Linked DNA regions of Anolis sagrei. The protein of the gene in region 2 purifies or fractionates together with the protein of the main gene of each other region. This does not show direct contact. Links are inferred from orthologs where the notes say so. Each region holds a gene or a part of one and is shown on either strand. Other genes may lie near its edges. The genes, in order: CRY1, CUL1, FBXO33 and ARIH1.

Region 1 (7,046 bases), on a different chromosome or scaffold from region 2:
AGCCTTCCATAGCCTGCAGCTCTGCGCCTGTCAACCACCTCCACCAAGTCTGGCCTCCTTAATGAGAACATTCAACACACACATACCCAACTTGGTTGCTTCACTACATCGGCTATTGCTGCAAGTAATGACAGTGTGAATAAATTGTCAGTATTTGCCTGAGATAGTGCTTGCAGTTCTGGAGGGACTCTTAATTTTTTGCATCTCATAGACTTAGCATGGGGATTTGGTTAACCAGTTAAAATTCATGAGTAAACCAGTTTTTTTTAAAAAAATCTGAAACATTTCGGGAGGGGTTTGAACCCCTAACCCCCCCCCGCCCCTCGCTACAGGCCTGCTCAGTTGTATGGTGTGCTTATGTTTTGTTGTTGTACACTCCTTGACATGAGCAGCGGCATGAAAATATATTAAGATATCAAGATGAATGGTGCTCCATGTGATCATGCTGGCCACATGTCCTTGGAGGTGTGTACGGACAATGCCGGCTCTTCGGCTTAGAAATGGAGATGAGCACCACACCCCAGAGTCAGACATGACTGGACTTAATGTCAGGGGACTACCTTTACCTTTACAAAAGGTTTGCTAGGGTAGACCCTCTTTCACTCAGACTCACCCCCCCCCCCAATTGAAATCCTGGCTACGGGTCTGATCCTAGGACTGGGCCAGCTTAAGCAGCTGAGGGGGGGGGGGGGGAGGCCCAAGGCGGTTAGGAATGGTGGGAGTTGAAGTCCAAAACACCTGAAGGGAAGGCTCAAGCTGGCCCAGGCCTGTGATACACAATGCTGCTGTGTTGATGGGCTTAAGTGGCTGAGGGGGAAAAGAAAGGGCCCGAGGGGGTTAGGAATGGTGGGAGTTGAAGTCCAAAACAACTGGAGGGAAGGCCCAAGCTGGCCAAGGCCTGTGATACACAATACTGCTGTGTTGATGGGCTTTAAGTGGCTGAGGGGGGGAAGGAAAGGGACTGAGGCTGTTAGGAATGGTGGGAGTTGAAGTCCAAAACACCCGGAGGGCCCAAGTCCACCCATGCCTGGTGTGTTGTTGTTCTTCATTCGTTCAGTCGTCTCCGACTCTTCGTGACCTCATGGACCAGCCCACGCCAGAGCTCCCTGTCGGCCGTCACCACCCCCAGCTCCTTCAAGGTCAGTCCAGTCACTTCAAGGATGCCATCCATCCATCTTGCCCTTGGTCGGCCCCTCTTCCTTTTGCCTTCCACTTTCCCCAGCATAGTTGTCTTCTCTAGGCTTTGCTGTCTCCTCATGATGTGGCCAAAGTACTTCAACTTTGTCTCTAGTATCCTTCCCTCCAGTGAGCAGTCAGGCTTTATTTCCTGGAGGATGGACTGGTTGGATCTTCTCGCAGTCCAAGGCACGCTCAGAACTTTCCTCCAACACCACAGCTCAAAAGCATCGATCTTCCTTCGCTCAGCCTTCCCTAACGTCCAGCTCACACATCCGTAGGTTACTACAGGGAATACCATGGCTTTGACTAGGCGGATCTTTGTTGCCAGTCTGATGTCTCTGCTCTTTACTATTTTATCGAGACTGGACATTGCTCTCCTCCCAAGAAGTAAGCGTTTTCTGATTTCCTGGCCACAGTCTGCATCTGCAGTAATCTTTGCGCCTAGGAATACAAAGTCTAGGTTCTTGTGGGTTTTATCGGGCTATAGAGCCATGTTCTAGAGGCATTTCTCCTGACGTTTCGCCTGCATCTATGGCAAGCATCCTCAGAGGTAGTGAGGTCTGTTGGAATTAGGACAATGGGTTTATATATCTGTGGAATGGCTGGGGTGGGGCAAGGAGCTCTTCCCCGCTGCAGTTAGGTGTGAATGTTTCAGCTGATCACCTTCATTAGCATTTGAAGGCCTGGCTGTGCCTGGGAAAATGTTCTGTTGAGAGGTGTTAAGATGTGCCTGGTTGTTTCCTCTCTGCTGTTTTGCTGTTGTAATTTTAGAGGAAAGGGCCTGAGGCTGTGGTGGGAGTTGAAGTCCAAAACACCTGGAGGGAAGGCGCAAGCTAGCCAAGGCCTGTGATACACAATACTGCTGTACTGATGGGCTTAAGTGGCTGAGGGGGGAAAGGAAAGGGCCTGAGTCTGTTAGGAATGGTGGGAGTTGAAGTCCAAAGCATCTGGAGGGCCGAAGTCCACCCATGCCTGGTGTAGACCCAATATAATACAGCTTAACTGCGTCCAATGCGTCCTGCACTACCCACACCGACCTAACGACGACACCCAAACTATTTCGAGGGAAACAGCAGGCTACTTCCGAGTGTTACATAGTACCTGCAGCAGCGTTGTATAACCAGGCGGCGCCGCGCATGCGCACACTCCCGGGAGAAAAGGGAGATTTAGAAGCGGGGGGGGGGGGGCTTGCTTACATAAAGTAAAAAGATGAGGGAAGGGCTGCCACTCACCTCCAGCGGTTGATGCCGACGTTGGAAGAGCCGGCGAACCAGGGGTCGAGGATGTAGACGCAGCGGACGCTGTCGGCTCCTTGGATGACCTCCCTCAGGGCCGGGTTGTCATGGAGACGGAGCCCCTTGCGGAACCAGTGCACCGCGTTCACCCCCATCACTGACGAGAGGCAGCACAAGCAGGAGAAGAGAACGGTTACAGCCGAGGAGCGTGGCTCAAGTCGAAGCCAAGCTCATGCCGCCGCTGAGCGGGGAAGAAGAAGAAGAAGAGGGCCAAGAAGCGACGAGAAACCGCTTTAAGATCCCGTGGAAGCAGCGGCCGCGGCGGTGGAAGCAGCGGCGACGGTGTTGGGGGCGAAACGCATCCCTCTCGGATTGTTTTCCTTCCTCAGCGCCCCTCCTGGGTTTCCAAACTGCCGCCCCCTCCCTCTCCTCCTCCTCTTCCACTCTCTATTCCTAATTAATTCCCTCTAAATAGCCGTTTTTTTCCCCTCAGAGGAAAGAAGAATGAAGGGGAAATAACCCAACTTCCTTCCTCCCTTGCCGCCCGCCCTGTGACTCGAGGCAACTCGTCCCAACGACGGAAGCCGCCAAGCTCCGCCCTTCCTCGCCCCTGATTGGCCACCCCCGCACCACGTGACCGGGGGCGCCTCACGTTTCTGAAATGTGTTTTTCCTGCCTCGTGGAGGGAGAGGGATGGTTATGCAGGTCTTCTTATCTATGTAACTAATGAGATTGCCGTACAGGATGGTATAATACAATATAGTAATATATAATACCAATATTGTGCTATGCTAATAATAATACACTATATTATTTATACACTTTATTGTGTATAATAGGCAAATAATAATAATAATACACTTATGTATAATAGAAATGATACATAATAAAGTGTATAAATAATATATAATATAAAGTCTATTATTATTAGCCTATTATACATAATAAAGTGTATAAATAATATAAAGTCTATTGTTAATATTAGCATAGCACAATATTATATATAGTATATCATTTTATTATACATAAAGTGTATAAATAATATAAAGTGTATTATTATTAGCATAGCACAATATTATATTATACATAATAAAGTATATTAGTAATATAAAGTGTATTATTATTAGCCTATTATACATAATAAAGTGTATAAATAATATACAATGTATTATTAGCCTGTTATACATAATGTATAACATTATTGAGGGCCCCCGGTGGCGCAGTGGGTTAAAGCACTGAGCTGCTGAGCTTGTTGATCGAAAGGTCACAGGTTCGATTCCGGGGAGTGGCGTGAGCTTCCGCTGTCAGCCCTAGCTTCTGCCAACCTAGCAGTTCGAAAACATGCAAATGTGAGTAGATCAATAGGTATCGCTCCGGCGGGAAGGTAACGGCGCTCCATGCAGTCATGCCGGCCACATGACCTTGGAGGTGTCTACGGACAACGCTGGCTCTTCAGGCTTAGAAATGGAGATGAGCACCACACCCCAGAGTCAGACATGACTGGACTTAATGTCAGGGGACTACCTTTACCTTTATACATAATGTAGTGTATAAATAATATAAAGTGTATTATTATTATTAGCACGTGTGGACCATAATGACGGATCTTGCTAAAGATCGATGCTTTTGAGCTGTGGTGTTGGAGGAAAGTGCTGAGAGTGCCTTGGACTGCGAGAAGATCCAACCAGTCCATCCTCCAGGAAATAAAGCCCGGCTGCTCACTGGAGGGAAGGATACTAGAGACAAAGCTGAAGTACTTTGGCCACATCATGAGGAGACAGCAAAGCCTAGAGAAGACAATTATGCTGGGGAAAGTGGAAAGCAAAACGAAGAGGGGCCGACCAAGGGCAAGATGGATGGATGGCATCCTTGAAGTGACTGGACTGACCTTGAAGGAGCTGGGGGTGGTGACGGCCGACAGGGAGCTCTGGCGTGGGCTGGTCCATGAGGTCACGAAGAGTCGGAGACGACTGAACGAATGAACAACAACATTATTATTAGCATAGCACAATATTATATATAAATAGTGTATCATTCTTATTATACATAATAAAGTGTATAAGTAATATAAAGTGCATTACTATTATTATTTGCCTATTATACATAATAAAGTGTATAAATGATAAAATGTATTATTATTAGCATAGCACAATATTATATATAAATAGTCTTTATATTATTTATACACTTTATTATGTATCATTTCTATTATAATAAAAATGATACACTATTTATATATAATATTGTGCTATGCTAATAATACATTTTATATTATTTATACACTTTATTATTTATAACTGGCTAATAATAATATGCATTATATATTAGTTATACACTTTATTATGCATAATAAACATGATACACTATATATAATATTATGCTATGCTAATAATAATACACTTTATATTATTTATACACTTTATTATGTATAATTGGTTAATAATAATACACTTTATATTATTTATACACTTTATTATGCATAACAAAATGATATACTATTTATATATAATATTGTGCTATGCTAATAATAATACACTTTATATTATGTATACACTATTATGTATAATAAAAATGATATACTATATATATAATATTGTGCTATGCTAATAATAATACACTTTATATTATTTATACACTTTATTATGTATAATAGGGTAATAATAATACACTTTATATTATTTATACACTTTATTATGTATAATAAAAATGATACACTATTTATATATAATATGCTATGCTAATAATAATACACTTTATATTATTTATACACTTTATTATGTATAATAGGCTTATAATAATAATACACTTTATATTACTAATATACTTTATTATGTATAATAAAAATGATACGCTATTTATATATAATATTGTGCTATGCTAATAATACATTTATATTACTTATGCACTTTATTATGTCTAATTGGCTAATAATAATAATAATAATATACACTATATATTATTTATACACTTTATTATGCATAATAAAATGATACACTATATATAATATTGTGCTATGCTAATAATAATACAGTTTATATTATTTATACACTTTATTATGTATAATAGGCAAATAATAATACACTTTATATTACTTATACACTATTATGTATAATAAAAATGATACACTATTTATATATAATATTATGCTATGCTGATAATAATACACTTTATTTATAATATATTGTATTTACATCTAATATTGATAATAATATAATGTAATACAAAATATTTATTTATTTATAGAATTTTTTCAGCCCAAAGGCAACTCAGGGCGGCATACAGATTGGCAACAATTAGATGCCATAAACATACATACATACATATCAATTAAAAACATCTAATATCACATAATAAAAATCCATATAAAAATCAATTAAAACTATAATAATTAATGTGTACCAGTTCAACTCCTTAGCCATTTGCATTGTCTAATAATAATAATAATAATAATAATAAAGCCTGAAAAAGTTACAGGTGTATATATGTGTGTGTATATATATTTGTGTGTGTATATGTGTACATGCATATTGTGTACATGTGTGTGCTTGTCTATATGCATATTTGTGTGTATATATGTATGTGGATATGTATGTGTATGCATGTGTATATGTATATATGTATGTGTGCATGTATATGTGCATGTGTATATGTATATCTATGTTTGTATGAATGTGTGCATGTGCATGAGTGTATGTGTATATGTATATAGGGTGTATTTGGGGGTATTTAAGTCTGTTCCACTGGGGTTTTGTGTGTGTGTGTTTATGGGTCATGGACACTCGTTGGACTATTAGGTGTCTTGTGTCCAAATTTCGTGTCAATTCGTCCAGTGGTTTTTGAGTTATGTTAATCCCACAAACAAACATTACATGTTGATTTATATAAGACTAGCCGTCTCCTGCCATGCCTTGCTGTGGCCCACTCTGGTGGTCATGGGGGTTCTGTGTGGGAGGTTTGGCCCAATTGGTGGTGTTCAGAATGCTCTTTGATTGTAGGTGAACTGTAAATCCCAGCAACTACAACTCCCAAATGTCAAGATTCTATTTCCCCCAAACTCCACCAGTGTTCACATTTGGGCATACTGAGTATTTGTGTAGAGTTTGGTCCAGGTCCATCATTGTTTGAGTCCACAGTGCTCTCTGGATGTAGGTGAACTACAACTCCAAAACCAAAGGACACTGCCCACCAAACCCTTCCAGTATTTTCTGTTGGTCATGGGAGAACTGTATGCCAAGTTTGGTTCAGTTCCATCGTTGGTGGGGTTCAGAATGCTCTTTGATTGTAGGTGAACTATAAATCCCAGAAACAACAAAATCATTTTTTTTTGAGTGAAGGAGATACATTGGATTGTAAGGTGTCTTGTGTCCAAATTTGATGTCAATTCGTCCAGTGGTTTTTGAGTTCTATAGATAGATAGATAGATTAGATAGATAGATTAGATAGATAGATTAGATAGATAGATTAGATAGATAAGACAGATAGATTAGATAGATAGATAGATTAGATAGATAGATTAGATAGATAGATTGACTGACTGATAGATTAGATAGATAGATAGATTAGATAGATAGATTAAATAGATTAGATAGATAGATTAGATAGATAGATTAGATAGATAGATAGATAGATAGA
Region 2 (7,543 bases):
GGATCCCTAAAGAAGGACAATGATATGTTTTATGTTCCAAAGTAGGCAAACCAGACAATCACTACATTAACACTGACAAAGAAACAACAAGAAATACTGTTTACCCACAAGCATCAAGAAATTACATAAGAAACCAACTTTCTCATTACTTTCTTTTCAAGATGACCAGACTGGATCATAGCAACGCGTGGCAGGGGATGGCTAGCATATGGCATGGACCAACTTTGGCCCTCCATGTGTTTTGGACTTCAACTCCCACAATTCCAAACAACCAGTAGGAAGTCCAAAATACCTGGAGGGCCAAAATTTGTCTATGCCAATATATATCTATATATCTCTATATCTCTATCTATCTATCTATCTATCTATCTATCTATCTATATCAGTGATTGGTTGGGGGGGGGGGCGCCAAAATACTGTTTGCTTACCATTGAAAATTACCTAGGACCGCCTCTGACTCTACCCCTAGAAGGGTATCTTGTAGTTGTGATACTAGCCCTGACCAGGAAATGGTATGTCAATGACAACTGGGAGGTATTTGTCACTCTGTTCACAGATCTGTTTGTTCCAAGCAGAAAATAGCATCAAATTGTTTAGAGCATGAAAACACTCAGAATTGGGATAAACCTATGTTAGTCATAGATAGCATGAACTCCTGAGTTGCTCCTGAGATACTGGCATTGAGTGGTATGTTAAAGTGACCCAGAAGCAAAACAATTTCAACAACACCTCTGAGACCAGTTCCATAAACTCAGCCAGAGAGACTTACTTCTGGGCAATTGTGCAGAAAAGAGTTCATGCATGACAACTTGGAAGTAAACTTCACTGTGTTTCACAAGGCATGGTGTTCATTTTATTCAGTGTAGCTGACTCTCAGAAAAGAGTGCATACACCTCACTGTTGCAGTCCTAACCATATCTGGAGCCCCAGGTCTCAGCGGTGACCAGGGGAGCATTTGCACAGCTCAGGCTCGTGCGCCAGCTGCGCCCGTACCTCGGGAAGTCTGACTTGGCCATGGTAGTACACACTCTGGTCACATCCCGCCTTGACTACTGCAACACTCTCTACGTGGGGCTGCCCTTGAAGACGGCCCGGAAGCTCCAGCTGGTCCAGCGCGCGGCAGGCATGTTACTAACAGGAGCGAGACGCAGGGAGCATACAACGCCCTTGTTGTACCAGCTCCACTGGCTGCCAATCTGCTACCGGGCCCCATTCATGGTGCTGGTGTTGGCCTACAGAGCCCTAAACGGTTTCGGCCCAAAATACCTGTCTGACCGCATCTCGGCCTATGAGTCCACGAGGACTTTGAGATTGTCCGGGGAGGCCCTTCTCTCGATCCCGCCTGCCTCACAGGCACGCCTGGCGGGGACGAGAGACAGGGCCTTCTCGGTGGTGGCCCCTCGGCTGTGGAACACCCTTCCTGTGGACATCAGACTGGCACCCTCCCTTATGACATTCCGCAAGAGACTAAAGACGTGGTTGTTCGAGAAGGCGTTTGAATAAGTGCTGCAATAACTGGCAATGACGATAGGAACGGAACACGGAAAACGATATTTGGATTGTGGTTCAACGATGAGACGCCGCGAATGACTTGTTGTAATTGTATTATTGATATTGATGTTGTTGTTTGATGATGTTTTTGATATTGCTAGTTGATGTTAGCCTATGTTGTAAATCGCACCTTATTTTACATGTTGTACACCGCCGTGAGTCGCCCCAGGGCTGAGAACAGCGGTCTATAAGCACAGTAAATAAATAAATAAATATCTGCCCAGAAATAAACTGCGTCCTATCTACAACTCCAAGCATCCCCCAACCATGCTGATTAGCCATGCTGACTGGGGAATTCTACATGTTGTAGTCCTTTTTCAAACTGATTGCATCCAGTCATATGAGAATGCTCTCGACTAATCATGATTAGCCTATAAATACTATTTGTGATCTTATGGATAGTGAACCAAACATAGGACTTGCTTTCAAAAGTGTTTGAATTTTCTTGAATGACTGAAAGTATTCCCCCAGAAATCAAGAGTGAGTAGGTTTCTTGGTATCCATCTTCTTTGAACTAATCTGGGAAAGATAGACCACTTCAACATATTCATTAAATACTGCTGAGCTACCCACTTAAGAAACAGCACATGACGTAGGCTTCAAGTGGAGAGATATCTTGGCGTTTAAAAGGGGTTGCAAAGCATTATCATTTCTGATGCTTTCTAAGCTGGATAGAGATGGGCAAAATGGCTCATTCTGTCATGTGATGATATTTGTCTTTCTCAGCTTTAAAATTTTTATTTCGTGTCAGGGCAGCCAGTCAATTATATTACATTTCTAACAGAACAAAGCAAACAAACAGACATAATACAAAATTTGTGAGTTTGGTAGTTAATTAAATGTCCTTTGACCAGTAGCTGGCCACTTGGAGTGCTTCTGGTGTTGCTGCAAGGAGGTCCTCCATTGTGCATGTGGCAGGGCTCAGGTTGTATTGCAGCAGGTGGTCAGTGGTTTGCTCCTCTCCACATTCGCTTGTGGAGGATTCCACTTTGTAGCCCCATGTCTGAAGGTTGGCTCTGCATCTCGTGGTGCCAGAGCGCAGTCTGTTCAGCGCCTTCCAAGTTGCCCAGTCCTCTGTGTTCCCAGGGTGGAGTCTCTCATTTGTATCAGCCATTGGTTGAGGTTCTGGGTTTGAGCCTGCCACTTTTGGACTCTCGCTTGCTGAGGTGTTCCAGCGAGTGTCTCTGTAGATCTTAGAAAACTATGTCTAGATTTAAGTCGTTTACGTGCTGGCTGATACCCAAACAGGGGATGAGCTGGAGATGTCTCTGCCTTGGTCCTTTCACTATTGGCTGCTATTTCCCAGCGGATGTCAGGTGGTGCAATACCAGCTAAGCAGTGTAATTTCTCCAGTGGTGTAGGGTGCAGACACCCCGTGATAATGCAGCATGTCTCATTCAGAGCCACATCCACTGTTTTAGTGTGGTGAGATGTGTTCCACACTGGGCATGCATACTCAGCAGCAGAGTAGCACAGCGCAAGGGCAGATGTCTTCACTGTATCTGGTTGTGATCCCCAGGTTGTGCCAGTCAGCTTTTGTATGATATTGTTTCCAGCACCCACTTTTTGCTTGATGTTCAAGCAATGCTTCTTGTAGGTAAGAGCACAGTCCAGAGTGACTCCCAGGTATTTGGGTGCGTTGCAATGCTCCAGTGGGATTCCTTCCCAGGTGATCCTCAGAGCACCAAGTCCTTGAAGCACTTTAGTAGAACCAGATCACTGCACACTGTACACTGTCCTTACTTTATAATCCTACATTCCTCCTGCCACATCAGCATTTTTAACCATGTACCCCTACCCTGGCCGGCCCAGTTTTAAATTGTGTCCCGTTGTATTGTTACTGTTATTGTTTTCTTGCTTAACTGTTTTAATTTGCTTTATGTATTGTATCATTTTATTGTATTTTTGGGGCTTCGGCCTGTGTAAGCCCCATCAAATCCCTTAGGAGATGCTAGCGGGGTACAAATAAAGTTAATAATAATAATAATAAATAATAATAATCTTCAGAGCTTGGGGTGCTTCTCTGTTCTTGAGATGAAAGGCACATGTCTGTGTTTTAGATGGATTAGGGATCAGCTGGTTTTCCCTGTAGTAGGCAGTAAGGGCACCTAGAGCTTCAGAAAGCTTCTGTTCTACCATCTCAAAGCTCCCTGCTTGAGCAGTGATGGCACGATCATCAGCATAGATGAAACTCTCTGTCCCTTCTGGCAGTGGCTGGTCATTTGTGTAGATGTTGAACATGGATGGAGCAAGCACGCTCCCCTGAGGCAGGCTGTTCTTCTGTTTCCGCCATCTGCTTCTCTGGCCCTGGAACTCAACAAAGAAGCTCCTGTTTTGTAGCAGGTTTCCTATGAGGCGGGTGAGGTGGTAGTCCTTTGTGATATTATACATTTTTCTCAGGAGGAGGCGGTGGTTCACAGTATCATAGGCTGCTGACAGGTCTATGAAGACAGCTCCTGTGATCTGCTGCTTTTCAAAGCCATCTTCTATGTGCTGAGTCAGGTTGAGCACTTGCGATGTGCAGCTTTTGCCTTTTCTGAAGCCAGTTTGCTGTGGGATCAGACAGGGGTCTATTTTTTCCTGAGCTCTGCCACATGCACAATGGAGGACCTTCTTGCAGCAACACCAGAAGCACTCCAAGTGGCCAGATACTGATCAAAGGACATTTAATCAACTACCAAGCTTGCAGATTTTGTATTTTTGTTTGTTTGCTTTGTAATATATTACATTATAAAATGTAATATAATTGACTGGTTGACCTGACACGACAAATAAATTTCTCCACAATGGGCCACAGCAACGCCTGGCCGGGTACAGCTAGTAAATACACAAATATACAGCAGAGCCTGGGCTTGCAGTGACTGGGAGGAGGAGGAGGAGCCAAGCTTATTGCGCGCGCACCTCTCTCTCTCTCTCTCTCCCCCCCCCCCCCCCTCTCCAATGTTGTTTGCTCCCAGCGAAGGCGACCGGAAGCCGCGCCAAGGCGGCGAGGGAGTGAGTGACGCGGCGGATCCGGAAGGGGCGGGCTTCCCCGTGTGGATGGCCGAGGCTGCCGCGGCCTCCCTGGATGACTTGAGTCTGCGGGACGTTGCGTGAGTAGCCTTTCGCCTTCTCCGCCTGGGAAAACGAGGCCCGGCCTGAGGGAAAAGGGCAAAGAGGCTGCTCTCCAATACGGGGAGCGAGGGACGGGCGACGCGGGAGGCAGGCCTGGGCCCGGGCTGTGGCGCAGCGAGGCCAAACCGGGTCAAGCGGGGCTGTGCGGGGAGAGGAAGGCGGAAGGCCGCCGGGAAAACGCCAGGAAAAGCGGGAGAGGGAGGGATTTGGTCGACGCCTCGCCGCTTGACCAGGCCGGGCTTCCCCAGTAGGCCCTCCCTCGCGCAGGCCGGCTTCAAGGCGAGCCGGACTTCCTTCTCTCTGCCTTTGCCCGCCCTGCCCTTTGGCTGAGGCCTTGCTTAGAACCAGCCTCCCTTCGCCACCCTCTTCCACCTTGGCTTTGTTTACGGGATATTTTATTTCACCTTGCTTCTCCACCGTGATGGGCCTCTAATGGCACACACGTTGTGAACATAGCCCTCCTCCCATGTTCTTGACCTGAGAAGTGTTCTGTGTCAGTGTGGCCTGTGTTGCCATCCCGCCCTATATCCCAGAATATCAAGGCAGGAAATCCCCCAGTATCTTCTTTGAACTGGGGTATATGGCAGTGTTGATTCACATTACCCAGGACCCATCCATCCAGTCGCATAACCCAGAATATCAAGGCAGGAAATCCCCCAATATCTTCTTTGAAAAGGGTTATATGGCAGTGTGGATTCAGATAGCCCAGGGGACCCTTCCACACAGCCATATAACCCAAAATATCAAGGCAGAAAATCCCCAAATATCTGCTTTAAACTTGGTTATATGGCAGTGTGGACTCACATAACCCAGGGCCCATCCAGCCAGCCATATAACCCAAAATATCAAAGCAGAAAATTCCCCAATATCTGCTTTAAACTGGGTTATGTGGCAGTGTGGACTTAGATAACCCAGGATCCTGGGGACCCTTCCACAAAGCCATATAAACCAAAATACCAAGGCTGAAAATCCCCCAGTATCTGCTTTGGACTGGCAGTGTTGATTCGCATAACCCAGGGCCCAGCCAGCCAGCCGTATAACCCAGAATATCAAGGCAGGAAATCCCCCAGTATCTTCTTTGAACTGGGTTATATGGCAGTGTGGATTCAGATAGCCCAGGGGACACTTCCACATAGCCATATAACCCAAAATATCAAGGCAGAAAATCCCCCAATATCTTTTTTGAACTGGGTTATGTGGCAATGTGGATTCAGATAGCCCAGGGCACCCTTCCACACAGCCATATAACCCAAAACATGCAGGCAGGAAATCCCCCAATATCTTCTTTGAACTGGGTTGTATGACAGTGTGGATTCAGATCGCCCAGGGGACCCTTCCACACAGCCATATAACCAAAAATATCAAGGCAGGAAATCTCCCAATATTTGCTTTGAACTGGGTTATATGGCAGTGTGGACTCACATAACCCAGGGCCTATCCAACCATCCGTATAACCCAGAATATCAAGGCTGAAAATCCCCCAATATCTGCTTTAAACTGGGTTATATGGCAGTGTTGACTCACATAACCCAGGGCCCATCCAGCCAGCCGTATAACCCAGAATATCAAGGCAGAAAATCCCCAAATATCTGCTTTGAACTGGGTTATATGGCAGTGTTGATTCACATAACCCAGGGCCCATCTACCCAGCTGTATAACCCAAAATATCAAAGCAGAAAATCTCCCAACATCTGCTTTGAACTGGGTTATATGGCAGTGTGGATTTAGATAACCCAGGGCCCTGGGGACCCTTCCACACAGCCATATAACCGAAAATATCAAGGTTGAAAATTCCCCAATATCTGCTTTGAACTGGGTTATATGGCACTGTTGACTCACATAACCCAGGGCCCATCCAACCAGCCGTATAACCCAAAATATCAAAGGAGAAAATCCCTCAATATCTGCTTTAAACTGGGTTATGTGGTAGTGTGAACTTAGATAACCCAGGGCCCATCCATCCAGCCATATAACCCAAAATATCAAGATTGAAAATCCCCCAATATCTGCTTTGAACTGGGTTATGTGGCAGTGTGGACTTAGATGACCCAGGACCCTGGGGACCCTTCCACACAGCCATATAACCCAAAATACCAAAGCAAAAATCCCCCAATATCTGCTTTAAACTGGGTTATATGGCAGTGTGGACTCGCATAACCCAGGGCCCATCCATCCAGCCATATAACCCAAAATATCAAGATTGAAAATCCCCCAATATCTGCTTTGAACTGGGTTATATGGCAGTGTGTACTCAGATAACCCAGGGCCCATCCATCCAGCCATATAACCCAAAATACCAAAGCAAAAATCTCCCAATATCTGCTTTAAACTCGGTTATGTGGCAGTGTGGACTTAGATAACCCAGGACCCCGGGGACCCTTACACACAGCCATATAACCCAGAATATCAAGGATGAAAATCCCCCAATATCTGCTTTAAATTAGGTTATATGGCAGTGTGGACTCACATAACACAGGGCCCATCTACCCAGCCGTATAACCCAGAATATCAAGGCTGAAAATCCCCCAATATCTGCTTTGAACTGGGGTATATGGCAGTGTGGACTCACATAACCCAGGGCCCATCTACCCAGCCGTATAACCCAGAATATCAAAGGAGAAAATCCCCCAATATCTGCTTTAAACTGGGTTATGTGGCAGTGTGGACTCACATAACCCAGGACCCTTCCATACAGCCATATAACCCAGAATATCAAAGCAGATAATGTGGGGTTTTATACATCTGTCTGGAAGAGGCCTGGGTTCTCCACTGGTATGACCTCAAGGAAATTGATCCTATAACTGTGGCCCCTTCTACACTGCCATATAACATCCATATTGTCTGCTTTGAACTGGATTCCGTGGGCGCTTCCAGAAAG
Region 3 (7,943 bases), on a different chromosome or scaffold from region 2:
TTTAATCCCACAAACGAACATTATATTGTATTGTTGAAGGCTTTCATGGCTGGAACCACTGGGTTGTTGTAGGTTTTTTCGGGCTATATGGCCATGTTCTAAAAGGCATTTTTTCTCCTGACACATCGCCTGCATCTATGGCAGGCATCCTCAGAGGCAGTGAGGATGCTTGCCATAGATGCAGGCAAAACGTCAGGAGAAAAAAAATGCCTTTAGACCTGACGTTTCGCCTGCATCTATGGCAAGCATCCTCAGAGGTAGTGAGGATGCTTGCCATAGATGCAGGCGAAAGGTCAGGAGAAAAAATGCCTTTAGACCTGACGTTTCGCCTGTATTTATGGCAAGCATCCTCAGAGGCAGTGAGGATGCTTGGCATAGATGCAGGCGAAACGTCAGGAGAAAAAATGCCTTTAGACCTGACATTTTGCCTGCATCTATGGCAAGCATCCTCACTACCTCTGAGGATGCTTGGCATAGATGCAGGCGAAACGTCAGGAGAAAAAAATGCCTTTAGACCTGACATTTCGCCTGCATCTATGGCAAGCATCTTCAGAGGTAGCGAGGATGCTTGCCATAGATGCAGGCGAAACATCAGGAGAAAAAAACGCCTTTAGACCTGACATTTCACCTGCATCTATGGCAAGCATCCTCAGAGGCAGTGAGGATGCTTGCCATAGATGCAGGCGAAACGTCAGGAGAAAAAAATGCCTTTAGACCTGACATTTCGCCTGCATCTATGGAAAGCATCTTCAGAGGTAGCGAGGATGCTTGCCATAGATGCAGGCGAAACATCAGGAGAAAAAAACGCCTTTAGACCTGACATTTCACCTGCATCTATGGCAAGCATCCTCAGAGGCAGTGAGGATGCTTGCCATAGATGCAGGCGAAACATCAGGAGAAAAAAACGCCTTTAGACCTGACATTTCACCTGCATCTATGGCAAGCATTCTCACTACCTCTGAGGATGCTTGCCATAGATGCAGGCGAAACGTCAGGAGAAAAAAAAATGCCTTTAGACCTGACATTTCGCCTGCATCTATGGCAAGCATCCTCAGAGGTAGTGAGGATGCTTGCCATAGATGCAGGCGAAACGTCAGGAGAAAAAATGCCTTTAGAACATGGCCCGAAAAAACCTACAACAACCCAGCGAACATTACATTTTTATTTATATAGAAGATGCTGTTGGGCTTGGCCTCATGTAAGCCACCTTGAGTCCCCATTGGGGAGATGGTGGCAGGGTATTAAATAAAGTTGTTTATTATTATATTATTATTATTATTATTACCAAGGCAGAAACATCTCCAGCTCATCCCCTGTTTGGGTATCAGCCAGCACGTCAACGACTTAAATCAAGACATAGTTTTCTTAGATCTACAGAGACACTCGCTGGAACACCTCAGGAAGTGAGAGTCCAAAAGTGGCAGGCTCAAACCCAGAACCTCAATCCATGGGTGATACCAGATGAGAGACTCCCCCCTGGAAGGTGCTGAACAGACTGCGCTCTGGCACCACGAGATGCAGAGCCAATCTTAAGAAATGTGGCTACAGGGTGGAATCCTCGGCATGCGAGTGCGGAGAAGAACAAACCACTGACCACCTGCTGCAATGCACCCTGAGCCCTGCCACATGCACAATGGAGGACCTTCTTGCGGCAACACCAGAGGCACTCCAAGTGGCCAGATACTGGTCAAAAGACATTTACCCAACTACCAAGTTTGCAAAATCTGTGTTTTTTGGGGGTTTTTTTTAATCTGTGTGTTTGTTTTGCTCTGTTAGAAATGTAATACAATGGTATGGTTGCTGATAACACGATAAATATAAATATATTATTATTAGGGGCGAAAGACGGGCCTCCCCCGAAGAGCTCGGGCTGGTCCAGGGTCCAGAGTGGAGAGACACTCTGAGGAAGGAAGAAGCACAGTTTGCAATGACAGTGTGGAATGGTTGCAGCTTCAGACCACTTGTAATGGGGGTTGTAGTTTTACAAAAGTGGGGCCAAGCTGCATAGAGGAGGCTAGGCCTGGGTCAAGTTGGGGGATGCAAGTGTTTTGGAGTTCAACTCCCACCATGCCGAACAGCCTCAGGCCCTTTCCTTTTCCCCCTCAGCCGCTTAAGCGGCTGAGGGGGAAAAGGAAGGGGCCTGAGGCTGTTCGGCATGGTGGGAGTTGAACTCCAAAACACCCGCAGGCCTCAACTTTACCCAGGCTTGGGCCTAGTCAAAACAACAGCCCTCGGGATGCCGTAGCCGTGGAAGCGCGTGAACCGAGGCCTCACCTGTTGTTGCGGACGCTGCTCAAGACGCAGAGTACGAGCTCCAAGTAGGTCCGGAGCAGCTCCAGCCAGCGAGGGCAGAGCGGCGCTTCCCCGCCGCCTCCTCCTCCTCCTTCGGGGCCTGAGGCGGGGACCACTCCCGCGGCGGAGTCGGCATCCGCTTCGAGGCCTTCCTCGGGCCCCCCTCCTGCTCCTCCTCCTCCGGTGGGGTAGTTGTCCGCGGCGAACTGGACGCGGAGCTCCCTGACGAACCAGCCGCACTTGCGCATGAGGAAGTCGAGTCGCGGGCGCTCGGCGGGGCAGACGCGGAGGCTGAGGCGCAGCCGGGGCCACAAGGCCGGGTAGAAGAGGCACTCGCGCCAGTGCGAGCAAGCGGCCGAGGCCCGGAGCCGGTCCGGCGCGGCCAGGAAGGAGAAGATGTGCACCACCAGCTCGCTGGGCAAGGAGCCCGCGCCCACCGGGGAAGACATCATGGTGGTGGCCCGAGCGGGAGGAGCCGCCGCGGGGGGAGCCACCGGCCGCCGCCGCCGCCGCCCCGAGCCCGGCCCCGGCCTCCCCTCAGGCTCCTGCGACAAAAACAACAACATCAATGACAAGGCGCCCAGGGAGGAGGAGGAGGAGGAGGGAGGAGAGAGGAGGAGGAGGGACCGGGCTCGGATGCCTGCCTGGCCGAGCCAACCAACGCGCCCTGCCGCGGGGGGAGACGGGCGGAGGGAGGGAAGGAGGGAGGGACGTACCATTGGGGCGGGAGGAGGAAGCGGAAGGCACCAACGCACAGGAAGGGAGGGAAGAGAAAGAGGGAAGGAGGAAGGAGCCAAACAGGAGGGAGGGAAAAGGAGTGCAGGGCAGCATTCTCCGCAGTATGATTAGTCTATTCATTTATACCAGGCTTGGACAAACTTGGGCCCTTCCAGTCTTTTGGACTTCAACTCCCACCGGTTGTTGGGAATTGTGGGAGTTGAAGTCCAAAACACTTCGAGGGCCCAAGTTTGCCCATGCCTGATTTATATACTGCTTTTATTTATTTACTAGCTTGGGGACCCAGCAGTGCCTGGGTTATTTAAGAAAGTGGGTCATGGGGGCTCTGTGTGCCAAGTTTGGTCTGTATTGGTCATTGGATCAGGGTTGCAGTGGTCTCTGGAAGTGATTGAAGGTACTCCCAAGTCCCATCATCCACAGTTCGGCCTCCTCCAAACTACACCAGGATGTAGAGTGGGTCGTGGGGGGCTATGTGTGTCAAGTTTGGTCTTTATCGGTTATTGGATTTTTTTGTTGTTGTTGTGTCAGGAGTATCCTGTTGTGAGAGAATTGGCCGTCTGCAAGGACGTTGCCCAGGGGACACCCGGATGATTTTGATGTTTTATCATCCTTGTGGAAGGCTTCTCTCATGTCCCCACATGAGGAGTTGGAGCTGATAGAGGGAGCTCATCCGCCCCTCCCCAGATTCGAACCTGCGACCTGTCGGTCTTCAGTCCTGCTGGCACAGGGCTTTAACCCACTGTGCCACTGGGGGCTCCAGGTTATTGGATTAGGTTCACAGTACTCTCAGGAAGTGAGTGATGGTACTGCAAATACCATCATCTGTGGTCTGTCCTGCCCAGGTTGTAAAGTGGGCCATTGGGCCTCTGTGTGCCAAGTTTGGTTCTGATCTGTCATTGGTGTGGGTCACAGTGCTGTAAAGAAGTGAGTTAAAGTACTGCAAGCCCCGTCATTCATGGTCCATCCTCCCTCAAACTGCACCAGGATTTAAAGTGGGTCATGGGAGGTCTGTGTGCCAAGTTTGGTCTTGTTCTGTTGTTGTTGGGGGCCACTGTGGTATGTGGGAACCAAAGCATTTGAAAGTACTACAAATCCCATCATCCATTGCCCATCCTCCCCCAAACTTCACCAGGACATAAAGGGGGTCATGGGGGTTATGTGTGCCAAGTTTGGTTCAGGTCTGTCATTCGTGGGGGTCATGGCGGCTTGCAGAAGTGGCAGCTAATCAGAAAGCACACAAACATACATACAGACAACCATTCTCTTATTATATATATAGATTTAAAACATTTATATTCCACTCTTCTCACCCCGCAGGGGACTCAGGGCGGAGCACAACATGTACACGCAAACATTAAATGCCAGGACATAAAATCATAAATATATACAAACATTAAAATAACTTATATCCACATTAAAAGTTGCTTAAAACTATCTCAGGACACCATTTTGCCTCATTGCACTGCCCCATGGCCAGGTCTTCACCATCCTTCTGAAGGGCAGGAGGAGGGGGCTAACCTAATATTGCCAGGAAGGGAGATCCATAACCGGGGGGCAATCACTGAGAAGGCACTGTCTCTCGTCCCTACCAAACCCGGCTGTGATAGTGGCGGGACCGAGAGCAGGGACTCCCCAGAAGATCTTAGTTTATGCAGTGGTTTGTAAAGGGAGATGCATTTGGACCGGTAAACAGGGCCGGGGCCGTTTAGGGCTTTATAGGCCAAAGGCAGCACTTTGAATTGTGCCCGGTAGCAAACAGGCAGCCAGTGGAGCTGACGTAACATGGGAGTTGTGTGCTCCCTGTATGCCGCCCCAGTTATTAACCTAGCTGCCTCTCATTGGACTATTGGAAGCTTCCAAACTGTCTTCAAAGGCAACCCCACGTAGAGCGCATTGCAGTAGTCTATCCTGGATATCTGTCTCAATGAGACTCAAAGCGAGCCTCCTTTATCTGGAATCCAGGATTGTCAATATTATCATTCTATTGAGTTATATGCTGCTTTTTTCTCTCTTAATGAGACTGGGGGCCCTTCCACACAGCCCTATATCCCAGAATATCAAGGCAGAAAACCCCACATTATATGAGCGTGGACTCAGATAACCCAGTTCAAAGCAGATATTGTAAGATTTTCTGCCTTGATATTCTGGGTTATAGGGCTATGTGGAAGGGCCCTCAAAGTGAGCCTCGATCCGCAATCCAGAATTGTCTGCATTATTATCATTGACACAAAAACACAGTATGTCACAGCAAACGAGAGATATATGCTGGATTTCCTATCACAAGATCATAAGTCTAACACTTCCCAAGCATCTAGAACTGTGTGATGTGTTTTTGGATGAGGTACACAGATCAAGTAAGGTGGCAGATCGTGATTTTGTCAATGTTTATTGTTTTCAAATGCCTGCTGAGATCTTTTGGCACAGCATCCAGTGTGCCGATGACCACTGGGACCACCTGTACTGGTTTATGCCAGAGCCTTTGCAGTTCGATTTTGAGGTCTTGATAATGGCTGAGTTTTTCCTGTTGTTTTTCAATGTGACTGTCACCTGGTATGGCGACATTAATAATCCAAACTTTTTTCTTTTCCACAATCGTGATATCTGGTGTATTGCTTTCCAAAACTTTGTCCGTGTGGATTTGAAAGTCCCACAGTATTTTTGCGTGTTCATTTTCCGCTACCTTTGCAGATTTATGATCCCACCAATTTTTTACTGCTGGCAGGTGATACTTGTGACATAAGTTCCAGTTAATCATTTGGGACACAGAGTTCTGCCAATCACCAGTGGACCACCTTTACTGGCTTGTCCCAGAGTCTTTGGAATCCAGGATTGTCCACATTATTATTATTGACACAAAAGCACAGTATGTCACAGCTTATTATTATTATTATTATTATTATGACTTATATGCCGTTTTTTTTCTCTTAAAGAGACTCAACATGAGCATCCTTAATCTGGAATTCTCAATTGACTATATTATTATTATTATTATTATTATACTGATTTATATGCTGTTTTTACTCTCTTAAAGAGTCTCAAAATGAGCATCCTTTATCTGGAATTCTCAATTGACTATATTATTATTATACTGATTTATATGCTGCTTTTTCTCTCTTAAAACGTCTCAAAATGAGCATCCTTTATCCAGATTCCAGGATTGTCCACATTATTATAATTCAGTTCATGTATATGCTGCTTTTTCTCTCTTAACGAGATTCAAATTGAGCATCCAGGGTTGTTTACAACTACATCATCATCAGTGACTGGATAGTAATAATAGCTCAATGCTATGCTACCCCGGGAGTTATAATTTTACAAGGTCTTTAGCCCTCTCTGCTAAATACAGCTGGGGCCTCATCAAACTACAAATTCCAGGATTTCCATGATGGAACCATGGCAGTTGGAGTGGAGCCAAACCGCCTTAATCCTACAATGTAGATGCACCCCTGGTTTTCATGCATACAATTATATATTTAAAATATGGTGTATATCATTGTCTTCAAACTATGTCTATGTGAAACACAAATTAATGTTTTCTTTAGACTTGGGTCTCATCTCTAACTCGTAATATGTATGCAAATATTAAAAAAAAATCCCCCCTTTTTCTGAAAAAGTCTGAAATCCCAAACACTTCTGGCTCCCCAGCATTTCGAATAAAGAGGACTGTATAGGAGGAATGTACCAAGGCGTCCTCGGCCGAAGGGGGAGCCGGGAAGGGCTGCTTTTATGACTCAGCATCTAGAAGGGCGGTGAGGCTGACGCCACCTAATTGATGGCGAGGCGCTCGCCCTTCGGAGGACTGTACCATCCTTCTCCGGAGGCGGGGGGGGGGGGGAGACTTCTTGGCTTCGTCCCAAGAGTACAGACGCTGGAAGGCGGCCAAGGATGCTGCAACTTTCCCTAGTCCTCAAATCACCCCGAGCGAGGAGGACCAGGTTGCTGGAACGCTTGCCTCTGGAGCCAGAAAGCATCGCAAATAGCACACCAATGCACGATGCATCTCTCGTATTTGTACCTGCAGAAATGAGTATTAATTGGGTTGCTGTAAGTCTGAAAGCCTTCGCCAATACATTGAGTATTACAGAGGACCAAATACTCCCTATCAGTACAAGCAGGGAATTATTATTGTTAATAATAATAATAATAATAATTTTCCCTGTTTGAGACAGGAGATAATACTTTCTTCCAGCAGAAGTGGATATTATTTATTTACAAAGGGACTAGAGCAGCTTACAAGATATATATACATACAATATTATATATTATATATTATTATATTGTACTATATTGTACTATACAATTATATTGTGACATTATTAGTAATATTATAATTATATAATATAATTACATTATAATGATAGTTTATCCTGTTAGAGACCTGAGATAACAGACCAAATAGAAGCAGATATTATTGTTACTATTTCCCTTTGGGAGACAGGAGATAGCAGATCAAATACTCTCTTCCAGCAGAAGTGGGAATAACAATTTCGTTTTCAGAGATAGGAGACCAAATATTCTCAGCAGAACTGGATACCATCATCATAATTTATTTCTACTGCTGGAGACAAGAAATAATGGACCAAATACTAAAGGCAAAGGTAAAGGTTTCCCCTTGATATTAAGTCTAGTCGTGTCTGACTCTGGACATGGTGGTGCTCATCTCCATTTTTAAGCCAAAGAGCTGGCATTGTCCATAGACACCTCCAAGATCATGTGGCCAGCATGGCTGCATGGGAGATAGGAGATGGCAGATCAAATACTCTCTTCCAGCAGAAGTGGGAATAACAGGTTTTTTTGAGATAGGACATAGGAGACCAAATACTCTCAGCAGAATTGGATATCATCATCATCATCATCATCATCATCATCATATATTTCACTGTTGGAGACAGGAAATAATGGACCAAATACTC
Region 4 (7,058 bases), on a different chromosome or scaffold from region 2:
TAAATAATTACAAGGAAAGCAAAGAGATGCGGGAACAGGAGGAGAAAAGAGGAGAGTAGGAGAGAAAGAAACAGAAGGAGGTGAGGGAGAGGTTCAAACAGGCACCAAGTGTTTTGGACTACAACTCCCACAATTCCAATCAGTCTGGTCTAAGAGTGGGATATAAATAATTAGATTTCTATTATTTATAGGAAAGAGATGAAGGAAGAGGAGGAGAGGAGGAGAGAAAGAAACAGAAGGTGGTGAGGGAGAGGTTCGAACAGGCACCCAAGTGTTTTGGACTAAAACTCCCACATTTCCAATCAGTCTGGTCTAAGAGTGGGATATAAATAATTAGATTTATATGATTTATAGGAAAGAGATGAAGGAAGAACAGGAGGAAAGAGGAGAGTAGAGAAAGCAAGGGAGGATGGGAGGGAGAAGAAAGGTGTGCCTGGAGGAGGAGGTACCATGTCAACCCTCCTGTTCAAGGAGCTCCACTGGCTGCTGTTTATTTTCCGAGCCCAATCTAAGGTGCAGGTGCTTACCTACAAAGCCCTAAACGGTTTGGGACCATCCTACCTGTGTGACCGCATCTCAGTGTATGAACCCACGCGCTCACTTCATTCATCTGGTGAGGCCCTGCTCGCAATTCCGCCTGCATTGCAGGCGCGTCTGGTGGGGATGCGAGACAGGGCCTTTTCCGTGGTGGCCCCCCAACTCTGGAACACCCTCCCCAAAGATCTTAGACAGGTCCCTACGTTGGCAGTCTTTAGAAAGAACTTGAAGACCTGGCTGTTCCGATGTGCCTTTCCAGAATAGCAATCCTCCAACAAGTCCCAGAAGCACTTTATTAGAAATTAAGATTGCTGGCACACTGCACTTACCCCATTATCCTTACATATCACCTGTCACATCAGCACTTTTGATCTGTACCCAATACTCTGGCCTGGCCCAGTTTTATTGTGTCTTGGTGTATTGTCTTATTGCTTGTTGTTGAATATTGCTTTACTGTTTTTAATTTGCTTTAGGTTGTGTATTGTTATGTTGTGTTTTGAGGCCTTGGCCTTTGTAAGCCGCATCAAGTCCTTCGGGAGATGCTAGCGGGGTACAAATAAAGTTAATAATAATAATTAAAAAATGTGTTTTGGACTACAACTCCCACAATTCTAATCAGACTGGTTCAAGAGTTGGATATAAAGAACTAGAAGGATAGGAAAGAGATACAGAAAGAGGTCGAGAAAAGCGGAGAGTAGAGAAAGCAAGGGAGGGTGGGAGGGAGAAGAAAGGCATGCCTGGAGGAGGCGGAGGTACCAAGTGTTTTGGACTACAACTCCCACAAACCCTATCAATCTGGTTCAAGAGTTGGATATAAAGAATTAGAAGGATAGGAAAGAGATGAAGAAAGAGGAGGAGAAAAGAGGAGAGTAGAGAAAGTGAGGGAAGATGGGAGGGAGAAGAAAGGTGTGCCAGGAGGAGGTACCAAGTGTTTTGGACTACAACTCCCACAACTCTCTGTATGTTTTGATATGGTCAAAATTGACTAATCAATAAAGAATTGTTGAGTGTCACAACTCCCACAATTCCTATCAGTCTGGTTCAAGAGTTGGATATAAAGAATTAGAAGGATAGGAAAGAGATGCAGGAAAAGGAGGAGAGTAGAGAAACCAAGGGAGGGTTTGAGGAAGAAGAAAGGAATGCCTGGAGGAGGAGGAACAAAGTGTTTTGGACTACAACTCCCACAATTCCTATCAGTCTGGTTCAAGAGTTGGATATAAAGAATTAGAAGGATAGGAAAGAGATGCAGGAAAAGGAGAAAAGAAGGGAGTTGAGAAAGCAAGGGAGGGAGAAGAAAGGTGTGCCAGGAGGAGAAGGTACCATGTGTTTTGCACTACAACTCCCACAATTCTCTGTATGTTTTGATATGGTCAAAATTGACTAATCAATAAAGAATTGTTGAGCGTCACAACTCCCACAATTCCTATCAATCTGGTTCAAGAGTTGGATATAAAGAATTAGAAGGATAGGAAAAGAATGCAGAAAGAGGAGAGTTGAGAAAGCAAGGGAGAAGAAAGGCATGCCTGGAGGGGGAGGAACCAAGTGTTTTGGACCACAACTCCCACAATTCCTATCAGTCTGATTCAAGAGTTGGATGGAAAGAATTAGAAGGATAGGAAAGAGATGCAGGAAAAGGTGAAGAGAAAGCAAGGGAGGGAGGGTTGGAGGGAGAAGAAAGGCATGCCTGGAGGAGGAGGAGGCCTCCCTCCTTCCTTCCACCCCTCCATCCCTCCTTCCTTCCCGCCGAGGGAGCGCGCCCCCGCCGCCCGCCCCTGCGCGCGCACCTGGATGACCTCGTTGACCTCCCGGATGCACTCCACCATGTGCTGCAGGATCTGCTCGGCCGTGAGCACCTCGTAGCGGTAGTCCTCCTCCTGGTCGTGGCCTAGTCCCCCTCCGGAGCCGGGCCCGCCCAGGCCGCTGCTTCCCCCGAGGCCTCCTCCTCCTCCGCCGCCGCCTCCCCCTCCTCCGGGCCCGAGGCCTCCCCCGCCGGTCTCTCCGCCGAGTAGGCCGTCCCTCTCTCCGCCCACGCCGGGCTCGACCAGCTCCACCTCGCCCAGGTCCAGGTTGCCGTCGTCGGGGTCGTCGTCGGGGTCGTCGTCGTCGTCGTCCTCCTCAGCGCCGCTGTCCTCGCTGCACTCCTCGTCCTCGTCGAACTCGTAGTTGTAGCCCTCGTCCGAGTCCATGGTGGCGGCGAGAAAGGGGAGGAGGAGGAGGCCGCTGAGGCCTAGGCCGAGGAGGAGGAGCGAAGGCGCCGGGCAGGCCCCGGCTGAGGGACTGACGGGAGGATGGGAGGGAGGGACGCGAGGGAGGGCTGCGGCCTAGCCCGCCTTCCTTCCTGCCTGCCTGCCTGCCTGCCTTCCTTCGGCGGAGCGATTCCCCAAAGCCGCCTCCTCCTCTGCCAGGCGCCGCTGAGCCAACAAAGGGACGCGTCCGGCCCGCTCCGTCACCTCCACGCACGCACGTCAGCGCGGACGGGGACGCAACCCCACGCCGCGTGTGGCGTCACGACGCCGCCGCCGCGCCGAAGGGCGGGAAGGGAACGCAACACGCCCCGCCCCCTTTCGCCTCCTCAAGCGCAGTCCGTCGGCAGCCATCTTGAGTGTGGCACGAAAGGGAACCACCAGCCTGCCTTGCCGCCGCCATCTTGTGGAGCCGGAGGGCGCGCCTTCTTCAACCGACTCTCAGGAAGGGAGTGGCTGCGGCCCACCATCTTGGGTGTGGCACAGCGAAAGGGGATGACATTTATAAATTGGCATGGGGGAAGGGCCAGCCGAGTTGGCTTATTGTATGTATATAGATATATATTGTATGCATATACATATATGTGTGTGTGTGTGTGTATACATATATATTGTATGTATATACAATATTTATTACTTATATATAATATTATTTTATATTATATAATAACATATATATAATATATATAATATATTATATAATACTTATTGTATGTATATAGATGGATGTCCGCCACCTTTGGCTGCAAAGGATGTAGTCAATCTGATTTCGGTGTTGACCGTCTGGTGAAGTCCAGGTGTAAAGCCGTCTTTTAGGTTGTTGGAAGAGAGTATTCGTTATACACAGCGAGTTTTCCTGGCAAAATTCTATCAGCCTGCGTCCCGCTTCATTTTGTTCTCCCAGACCATGCTTGCCTGTGATCCCTGTTGTCATTTGACTTCCCACCTTGGCATTCCAGTCTCCTGTAATGAAAGTAATGTCTCTTTTTGGTGTATTATCCAGTAGGTCCTGCAGATCCTCATAGAACTGATCTACTTCTGCTTCTTCAGCAGCTGTGGTTGGGGCGTATATTTGGATCACTGTGGCGGACATCCATCCAGTCGGTGAAAACAAGACCTGGGGCTGACTGTAGCTCAGATCACGAACTTCTTATTGCTCAATTTAGAACAAAACTAAAGAGATCAGGGAAAATACACAGACCAGTTAGATATGATCTTACTAACATTCTTAGCGAATATACAGTGGAAGTGAAGAACAGATTTGAAGGACTAGATTTAGTAAACAGAGTCCCAGAAGAACTATGGACAGAAGTCCGAGACATTGTTCAGGAGGCGGCAACAAAGTACGTCCCAAAGAAAAAGAAAACAAAGAAGGCAAAATGGTTGTCTGCTGAGACACTGGAAGTAGCCCAAGAAAGGAGGAAAGCAAAAGGAAACAGGGATAAGGGAAGATATGCCCAGTTAAATGCGCAATTCCAGAGGTTAGCCAGAAGAGATAAGGAACTATTTTTAAATAAGCAATGCATGGAAGTGGAAGAAGACAACAGAATAGGAAGGACAATTTCTTTTCCAGAAAATTAGAAACATTGGAGGTAAATTTTAGGCAAAAATTGGTATGATAAGAAACAAAGATGGCAGGGACCTAACAGAAGCTGAAGAGATCAAGAGAAGGTGGCGAGACTATACAGAAGATCTGTATAGGAAGGATAACAATATCGAGGATAGCTTTGACGGTGTGGTGAATGAATTAGAACCAGACATCCTGAGGAGTGAGGTTGAAAGGGCCTTAAGAAGCATTGCTAACAACAAGGCAGCAGGAGACGACGGGATCCCAGCTGAACTGTTTAAAATCTTAAAAGATGATGCTGTCAAGGTGATGCATGCCATATGCCGGCAAATATGGAAAACACAAGAATGGCCATCAGACTGGAAAAAATCAACTTATATCCCCATACCAAAAAAAGGGAAATGCGAAAGACTGCTCAAACTTCCGTACAGTGGCCCTGATCTCTCATGCCAGTAAGGTAATGCTCAAGATCCTGCAAGGAAGACTCCAGCAATACATGGAGCGAGAGTTGCCAGATGTTCAAGCTGGGTTTAGAAAAGGCAGAGGAACGAGAGACCAGATTGCCAATATCCGCTGGATAATGGGGAAAGGCAGGGAGTTTCAGAAAAACATCTACTTCTGCTTCATTGACTATTCTAAAGCCTTTGACTGTGTGGATCATAATAAATTGTGGCAAGTTCTTAGTGGGATGGGCATCCCAAGCCACCTTGTCTCTCTCCTGAGGAATCTGTACAAGGACCAAGTAGCAACAGTCAGAACTGACCACAGAACAACAGACTGGTTCAAGATTGGGAAAGGCGTACGGCAAGGCTGCATCCTCTCACCCAACCTTTTTAACTTGTATGCAGAACACATCATGCGATGTGCGGGGCTTGATGAATGCAAGGCTGGGGTGAAAATTGCTGGAAGAAACATTAACAACCTCAGATATGCAGATGACACCACTCTGATGGCCGAAAGCGAGGAGGAGTTGAGGAGCCTTCTAATCGAGGTGAAAGAAGAAAGCGCAAAAGCCGGGTTGCAGCTAAACATCAAAAAAACCAAGATTATGGCAACAAGAATGATTGACAACTGGAAAATAGAGGGAGAAAATGTGGAGGCCGTGACAGACTTTCCATTTCTAGGCGCAAAGATTACTGCAGATGCAGACTGTGGCCAGGAAATCAGAAGACGCTTACTTCTTGGGAGGAGAGCAATGTCCAGTCTCGATAACATAGTAAAGAGTAGAGACATCAGACTGGCAACAAAGATCCGCCTAGTCAAAGCCATGGTATTCCCTGTAGTCACCTACGGATGTGAGAGCTGGACCTTAGGGAAGGCTGAGCGAAGGAAGATCGATGCTTTTGAGCTGTGGTGTTGGAGGAAAGTGCTGAGAGTGCCTTGGACTGCGAGAAGATCCAACCAGTCCATCCTCCAGGAAATAAAGCCCGACTGCTCACTGGAGGGAAGGATACTAGAGACAAAGTTGAAGTACTTTGGCCACATCATGAGGAGACAGCAAAGCCTGGAGAAGACAATGATGCTGGGGAAAGTGGAAGGCAAAAGGAAGAGGGGCCCACCAAGGGCAAGATGGATGGATGGCATCCTTGAAGTGACTGGACTGACCTTGAAGGAGCTGGGGGTGGTGACGGCCAACAGGGAGCTCTGGCGTGGGCTGGTCCATGAGATCACGAAGAGTCGGAGACGACTGAACGAATGAACAACAACATATGGTATACTGCATATTTATATTTATATATAGACATATATGAAAAACTATATAATATACCGCCTCTCTCAGCCCGAAGGCAATTCGGGTTGGCCTAGTTTCTCATGTGCGTATATATGTTTGTGTATATAGATATATATACTTGAGCACACAACATATACACAACACATATATCACATATATACACATATATAAATATGCAAAATACTATACATAACTATATAAACAGTCAACATATATGCATATACACACAACACATAGCTTTTCATATATATGTCTATATAAGTGCAGTATTCTATATATATATAGAAGCACGATATTTGTGTTATGTGTATATGTATGTATATGTTTTGTGTATATATACATACCTATACCACACATAAACACACAACACATCGTTTTTAATATATATGTCTATATATAGACATTTATATTTATATCTATGTCTATATATAAATATACAGTATACTATACATACCTATATATGCACACAACATATATATATATATGCATACACAACACCAAACATAGTTATTCATATATGTCTATATATAAATATAAATATGCAGTATACCATACATATATATATATACACATAATCTATGCATATATATGTTGTATATAACACACACCTCATATATACACACAAACACATTATTTTTCATATATATGTCTATATAGAGACATATATAGACATAAATATGCAGTGCACTATATATGTTGTGTATGTGTATATGTGTGTGTGTTGTGTATAGTATATATGTGTGTTTATGTATAATATATTGCATATTTATATTTATATAAAGCTATATGTATGAAAAACTATATATATATATTTCTATTTTTGTGAGTGTTGCAATTATTTATTTGATGCTTTCTCTCTCTCTATATATATATATGTATATATATATATGCTCACACACACACATAGTATGTGAGTCCCAAAAGTTCACATACATATGGGAAATTGTAGCAAAATGTCAATTTACAAAATATTGATTGC

Evidence for each region.
Region 1: the proteins of CUL1 (region 2) and CRY1 purify together in Homo sapiens (affinity purification with mass spectrometry; 4 studies listed by BioGRID and IntAct, counting the BioPlex papers as one, with this or other methods). This does not show direct contact. The link is inferred for Anolis sagrei from reciprocal best matches to the Homo sapiens genes CUL1 and CRY1.
Region 3: the proteins of CUL1 (region 2) and FBXO33 purify together in Homo sapiens (affinity purification with mass spectrometry; 4 studies listed by BioGRID and IntAct, with this or other methods). This does not show direct contact. The link is inferred for Anolis sagrei from reciprocal best matches to the Homo sapiens genes CUL1 and FBXO33.
Region 4: the proteins of CUL1 (region 2) and ARIH1 purify together in Homo sapiens (affinity purification with mass spectrometry; 5 studies listed by BioGRID and IntAct, counting the BioPlex papers as one, with this or other methods). This does not show direct contact. The link is inferred for Anolis sagrei from reciprocal best matches to the Homo sapiens genes CUL1 and ARIH1.

Annotation. Positions count from the first base shown.
Region 1 is NC_090025.1:169,420,683-169,427,728, forward strand, and holds the start of CRY1 (cryptochrome-1), read right to left. Parts: upstream 3,001-7,046; 5' UTR 2,570-3,000; coding exon 2,412-2,569; intron 1-2,411.
Region 2 is NC_090026.1:63,456,725-63,464,267, reverse strand, and holds the start of CUL1 (cullin-1), read left to right. Parts: upstream 1-4,536; 5' UTR 4,537-4,643; intron 4,644-7,543. UniProt on the Homo sapiens protein: Core component of multiple cullin-RING-based SCF (SKP1-CUL1-F-box protein) E3 ubiquitin-protein ligase complexes, which mediate the ubiquitination of proteins involved in cell cycle progression, signal transduction and transcription.
Region 3 is NC_090021.1:303,685,181-303,693,123, forward strand, and holds the start of FBXO33 (F-box only protein 33), read right to left. Parts: upstream 3,015-7,943; 5' UTR 3,012-3,014; coding exon 2,275-3,011; intron 1-2,274. UniProt on the Homo sapiens protein: Substrate recognition component of a SCF (SKP1-CUL1-F-box protein) E3 ubiquitin-protein ligase complex which mediates the ubiquitination and subsequent proteasomal degradation of target proteins. Probably recognizes and binds to phosphorylated target proteins.
Region 4 is NC_090029.1:26,571,614-26,578,671, reverse strand, and holds the start of ARIH1 (E3 ubiquitin-protein ligase ARIH1), read right to left. Parts: upstream 3,022-7,058; 5' UTR 2,724-3,021; coding exon 2,322-2,723; intron 1-2,321. UniProt on the Homo sapiens protein: E3 ubiquitin-protein ligase, which catalyzes ubiquitination of target proteins together with ubiquitin-conjugating enzyme E2 UBE2L3.